2 linked regions of the Rattus norvegicus genome follow. Each later gene encodes a partner of the first gene's protein in a complex. Links are inferred from orthologs where the notes say so. Each region holds a gene or a part of one and is shown in the gene's direction. Other genes may lie near its edges.

What was found. The genes of interacting proteins can lie anywhere in the genome.
Region 2: Gtf2f2 (region 1) and Polr2f share a complex: the UniProt entries of both Homo sapiens proteins name them as parts of the TBP-based Pol II pre-initiation complex. The link is inferred for Rattus norvegicus from reciprocal best matches to the Homo sapiens genes GTF2F2 and POLR2F.

The regions. Positions count from the first base shown.
Region 1 is NC_086033.1:57,628,443-57,631,181, reverse strand, and holds part of Gtf2f2 (general transcription factor IIF subunit 2), read left to right. Parts: exon of another isoform or gene 1-1,328; coding exon 1,329-1,472; exon of another isoform or gene 1,473-2,739. UniProt on the Homo sapiens protein: TFIIF is a general transcription initiation factor that binds to RNA polymerase II and helps to recruit it to the initiation complex in collaboration with TFIIB.
Region 2 is NC_086025.1:112,591,743-112,595,495, forward strand, and holds the start of Polr2f (DNA-directed RNA polymerases I, II, and III subunit RPABC2), read left to right. Parts: upstream 1-1,321; 5' UTR 1,322-1,366; coding exon 1,367-1,386; intron 1,387-3,753. Other genes in the region: C7h22orf23 (UPF0193 protein EVG1), read right to left, coding at 823-934, 1,096-1,098. UniProt on the Homo sapiens protein: DNA-dependent RNA polymerase catalyzes the transcription of DNA into RNA using the four ribonucleoside triphosphates as substrates.

The DNA.
Region 1 (2,739 bases):
ACTGTCATTATTGAAGGAAGTCAGGACAGGAACTCAAACAGGGCAGGATCCTAGAGGCAGGAGCTGATGGAGAAGTCATGGAACCCAGGACCACCAGCCCAGGGATGGCCCCATCCTTCTCAACTTAAGTTCAGATAACTTGGGTTTAAGGTCAGGTTGGCACCAAACGAATGTGTGTGTGTGTGTGTGTGTGTGTGTGTGTGTGTACATACATCCCAGCTACTGGGTTCGTCTAGTGTTGCTCTTATATAGAACACTGACCACTTGTATTGGATAACCAACCGGTTAGGGGCTCATCCCTGAGGAGGATGTGACTCTGTGTCTCCACGGTCCTCAGTTGCTGTGACCCTTCATGTAGAGGCAGGACTTGGAGATTCCCCATTCGAGCTGCATGTAGGCTGTCATTCAGGTTTTGGTTAGGCAACTCTATATAGTGCTGCAGTTAATGAGTGCAGCTTCTCTGTCACATACAGAAGATACTGTCTCACGTCAGATGTCCTGATCCTGTGGCTTTTCATGGTCTTTCCACTCCCTCCTCTGCCATGTTCCTGGGTTGTGTTGTGAATATATCTGTTGGTGATAGGCATCCCAAGGCCAGTTGTTCTCCAGTTTTGGCCATTTGTAGCTTTTTGTAATGTTCTCCATCTGCCTCAAAAAGAAGCTTCGCTTGTGAGAGCTGAGAGTTGCTTCCCATTCTGATGTGTGTGAAGATGATGTCTTGATTTTATTTGAATAAGAAGTACTTTTATGGTAAAAATTAGAGAATATTATACATGGAAACTTCGAGGACACCTGATGTGAGATAAAATGAAAATGTAGAAAAAATAATTTACTGGCATCAGCGCTGAGTGTATCTACCTTTCTTGTTGCGGAACCTACTTCTATGTACAGTGGTAAAGCATGGGCTGAGAGAGGAGGAGGCTGACTTTGCTCCTCTGCTCTTCACTAGTGCTCCCCAGACTTCCCAGTTGAACCTGCGCTGGAACAAGCTTGTGCCCTAAACTCCTAGAGCATGCAGTTTAATTCATAAACATATCTCACTGTACCTTGATTAATCAAAAACTAAGGAACTGCATGTTAGCTTCTGGGCTAACCAGGAAGAAACCCTCCTTGGGGAGAAATGAATGTGTTACATAAAGCTTCACAAGAGACTGAAAGTGGTTTACAGACCTCTGTTACAACTGTCCTGAACCTGAAAGGTAATGGGAGTCCCTGCCAGAGGCCTGATGGTGTGAGACTTTAAGTGAGGTTTCAGGTGACTCAGACTATTTCCAAATGATTTCTTTCCAGATGCTGAGTTGATACCTTTCTTTTGTTTTTGCCTACAGATTGAATATGAAAGGAAGAAGAAAGAAGATGGAAAGCGAGCTCGGGCAGACAAACAACACGTCCTAGACATGCTGTTCTCAGCCTTTGAGAAACATCAGTACTATAATCTTAAGGACTTGGTGGACATCACAAAGCAACCTGTGGTATGTATACATTTCTAGTGATCTTTAAGTATACCAGACTTTATTAGCATATCACTAGTGAGGAGAAACGTGATCAGGTTCACATTCACTCTGCTAATGACAGAGTTTATGTCAACAATCAGAAAACAGATTTTTTTTTTCCCCCAGAGCTGGGGACCGAACCCAGGGCCTTGTGCTTGCTAGGCAAGCGCTCTACCACTGAGCTAAATCCCCAAGCCCCAGAAAACAGATCTTAACATAGCTTTATCTTTCGAACATCCACTTCATTACTTTAGATTTAAAATACATGTAAGAGCTATTAAAATGGCTCAATTTGTAAAGGCACTCGGTTCAAATGCTGATGATGCCCAGAGCTTTCTGTGGAAGCAGTAAACCCACTCCTGGAAATTGTCTTCTGACTGCTACACACACAGCCAGGCACTTATGTGTGCGAGCATGTTTGCACACATGATAATGTTAGAGCCTGGAGAGGTGGTTCAGTGGTTAAGAGACTAGTTGCGGGGCTGGGGAGTTAGCTCAGTGGTAGAGCGCTTGCCTAGGAAGCACAAGGCCCTGGGTTCGGTCCCCAGCTCCGAAAAAAAGACCAAAAAAAAAAAAAAAAGAGAGAGACTAGTTGCTCTTCTAGAGGACTCAGATTTGACTCCTTGCACTCACTATCTTAACATCAATCTGAGATCTGTTAAGCAATTTGCAGTCTTTTTAATTTTTGCTAAAATGCCCATGATTCAGTATTCGCGATTCAGCTAATGACTTAATTCCCTTTGGCAGTACAGCCTGAGAAACAGCATCCATGCTAGATTAAAATATTTTTAAAGAATACTTTGTTAACAAGCTGTATTTCTTCTGGTTATAATGAAGTCTACCTTTTGTTATTTTGTATGTAAATATGCCTACAGGAAAGACTTTCCCAGACAATGAGCGCAGATGATGTATTCCTACAGAATGAAATGTACACACAGTTAGACAGGGAAGTAGGCAGAGTAGAGAGGGGGGCATTCTAGTAATGGTAGGGAAGCAAGTTCCTCAGTCCTTGTTCTTAACACAGGGTATTGGGCTTATTTGCTTCACATTGAAGGAAGGGGTTTATTAAAATGTCTATCTGGAGTAGATAGGTACTCAGGGGCTCCAATAAAAAGATCCCAAAATCAAGGCCAGGGTGGAGTATATAATACATATGTGGTCTGTCCCCAAAAACTGATTCAGTTCAGACTGTTGTTGCTGCTACTTCACTTCACTCTTTGTGTGGGGATGTTTTGCCTGCATGTGT
Region 2 (3,753 bases), on another chromosome or scaffold:
CATCTCTCCAACCCTTATATTAAGGATAGGTTCTTACTATATTATACAGACTCGCTTTTCTTGGGCTCAGGCGATCCTCCCAAGTAGTAAGCTTGCATAGCTTTATATCTGCCTAAGACAAACACACACTTTTTTGGTGACTGGCTAACATGGGTGCTGGGGACTGAACTTTCAAAGAGTAGTAAATGCTCTTAACCACTGAGCCATCTCTCCAACTGTAACACACACACTTATTTTGGCGTGTGGTGTGCTGGGACTGAAATCCAGACTTCACATCTGCCTAGAATATACTCTATCACTGAGTGACACCCCAGCTCTATAATTTTCTATTGTTAATTTTTCTTGTTACCCTCCTGTACTATTAGCTCTATAAGAGCAAGAATTGGCTTTCGCAATCCTCTCAACACTCTATTCCGAATACCTAGGACAATATCCAAATCATATATTGGGTTTTTAGTCGTTGAATAATTAAATGCATGCAGGTTCATTCACATAGCAGAGTCTGGAGCTACAATTGTGTGCGGAAGCTGGCTCGTTCTTTGCCTGGTGGCATTCACCATTTAGAAGATGATAGCTGGGACACTAAACACCTGTAAGACTATATATTATGCTAAACCCGGTGAAGGGAGTTGAATGTGGTACTGTGAAGGTCCTACTGTGGTGGGAAGGAGATAGGCTTCATTGAAAGTGCACGTAAAAGATGAGCTAACCATTCCAAAATTCTCCATCTCTGGCCTTTGATTCTCCCCAGAACCCTTCTGAATCCCAAGCTCTTAAGGGAAAACCGCACCGCTCAAGTCTTTGGTCCGCTAATGCACTAACCTCTGAGAAGCTCACAGGTCCCCGGCGTGTAAGCGGCTTGCTTACGGCAGCGGTGGAACCCGGTTCCGTTTGCCACTGCGTCCACCCTCTCCTGTGAAGCCATGGGAGGGTTCTAGGAGGGAGAGAAGGAATGACCAGCCCTCTTCCCGCGTCGCAGACAGACCTCTCATCGCTAGCAACCTAGGAGACTGAGAAGCTGGTGCTCGACCCCTCGGCTCCGGACAGCGCGGTGACCACAGTCCTTATCCTGACGGTCTAGGGCGGAGCGCTCACCATCAGCGATGACCCGGGCGTGACAGAGCCTTCCTCACGGAAATCCTCCGGGGAGCCAGAGTGTGAGCGTCCTCACCAAGCACTCCTTATTACCATGGTAACTAGCAGACACGCCCCCACGCACGCGCATTAGCGCTCGCGATCGACTGCCTCCCGGAAGTGATTGCGCCTAGGTCACGGCGCAAGCGCAAACCACACGTGTTGCCGCAAGGGGCTGAAGCGCGCGTTTCTCTGCTCTGCGACCCGGACCGGCCAGTAAGGAGAAGGTATCATGTCAGACAACGAAGACAAGTGAGCGCGGGCCACGGAGGGACGGAGGTTGTGGTGCAAGCCGGGCTCCTGGAGTACAGGCTAGTGGGTCGGTGGGGCGAAGTCTTCAGAACTTATTACCTCGCGGAGCAGTGGGGACAGTGGGCAGAGATTTCGTCCGTGTAGCCCCTGCCCACCGAGCGCTCCCTTTCTGGAAGTGAATGCCAGTGGTGTAGCTTGCGTAGTCGTGGAAGTAGGGAGGAAAGAGCAACCCAGAGAATGGCCTGGAAGGCTGGGAGCAGACGCGGACTTGGACTAGGTGAGATAGTAGCAAAGGTGGCCAGAAGTGGGAGTGGACTCTGGAGAGCTTGAAGTTTAGTGTTGTTTGAGACAAAGTCTCACTCTGAAACCCAGGCTGGCCGGGGATTCATGATGTAGCTAAGACTAGCTTTGAATTTGCTACAGTCTTTTGCTTCAGCTTCCCAAGTGTTGGTATGTCTGGTATGTGCTACCAGACCCAGCTGGATTATAGACATATTTTTATTTTATTTATTTGGAGAACAAATATAACCATATATCAGGTGGTTCGAACTTAGAGATCCATCTACCTCTGCCTTCCAAGTGATGGGTATTTTTGTTCTTTTTTGAGACAGAGTCTCTCTACATAGTCCTAGCTGTTCTGAAAGTCAGTGTGTAGATTAGGCTGTCCTCAAACTTACAGAGATCTGCCTGCCTTTACCTCCTGAGCACTGGATTACAGGCGTGTGCCACCATGCCTGGCTCCTGATATATTTTAAAGATAGAACCTAAGGGATTCCCTGATGGGCTGGCTGTATGTGTTAGGTCAAAAGATAAACTATGGTAGTCCAGCTATATCAGTAGTATAGATGTATCAGTCAGAACTCAGAGGCTGGGTGTGGTGGCTCACAGGTATAATCCTAGCACTTGGGAGAGGCTAAGGCAGGAGAATTGCCATGAACTAGATGTCAATCTGTGCTAAATAGTGAGTCTCAGGCCAGCCAGAGTTACATAGTATTCAGGAAAACTGACTTCAACACAAGCAGACAAAACACAGGCAAAAATGCAATGAAAGCAGAGATGGCAGTGCTGACCAGGGCAGAGTGCCACCAGAGAAGAGATGGCTAGTTAGTGACTGAGGGAAGAGAACCCAGAAAAGGAGCCCCTTCCCCAGAGTGGGAAGCAGGAGGAAGGAGCCCGGTGTGCTGGCTGTCGGATGAATGTCTGTGGCAAGGGTTCAGCACTGTAATGATCGTTAGTGAAGCTGGGAGTGGTGCAAGTGTTTGGTCCCAGCACTCAGGGCAGACAGGGGCAGAGGGATCTCTGAGTTCAAGGCCAGCCTGGTTATGGAGTGAATTCCAGGACAGCCAGGCAGCACAGAGAGACACTTTGGGAGGGCTGGGTTAATCGGTGAGCACACAAAGGGTGGCTTTGGAGCTTGAGGGTGTGTTGAAAGTCTTACTGAGGCGAGAATATGACAGGGAAGAGAAGAATTGGCAACAGTGGGTTTGGCAGCTTCCTCATACATTTTGTGCTACAGGAGGCTGATGGAATGGCTCAGTGGTAAAGGTGTTTTTGCTGCACAAGTAGAAGGAGAGAACAGGAAAGGTTGTCCTGGTGGTGTATGTGGACCCGGTAACTGGAGGCCATGAAAATGGCAGTGTTGTCTTGGCCTTACGTTTGTTTGTTTTGTTTGTTTTCTCCACCATAAGGGAATATGGAATTAGACTGTAGCAGGAGGAGAAAGAGAATAATGATTGGTTGGCTGGTTAGTTGGTTGGTTTTTTTGTTGGTTTATTTGTTTTTTTTTTTTTTTTGTTTTTTTTTTTTTGTTTTTTTTTTTTTTGGTTCTTTTTTTCGGAGCTGGGGACCGAACCCAGGGCCTTGCGCTTCCTAGGTAAGCGCTCTACCACTGAGCTAAATCCCCAGCCCCGGTTTATTTGTTTTTAAAAGAGGCCGGTGATGCTGGTAGTGTGTTGGTCCTGAGAAGGCTGGGGATTTCATGCATGCTGTATATACACTCTACTTTTGAGTTACAAAAGTAACTCCAGTCCTGGAGTAAACTTCATTTGCCTTTGCTCTTGAGACAGAATCTTACTATGTAGCCCAGGTGGAGTTCAAACTCCTAGTTCTCTTACTTCCACTTTCCAAGTGCTAGGCATACTGGAGTGTGCCACCACACCATCAGATTTCTATTTCTCTTCTTACGATAGGCTGACGAGAGGGATGGCTTAGAGGTTGTCAACACTTGCCAATTTTCCAGGGAGCAAAACCTTCATTCCCAGCACCAGGTAGAACAACTCCAGCTTCAGGGAATCTCACCCTTTTCCGGCTTCCACAGGCACTTGTGTGTGTGTACACTCAAACTTACACAAGATAAACATTGAACAG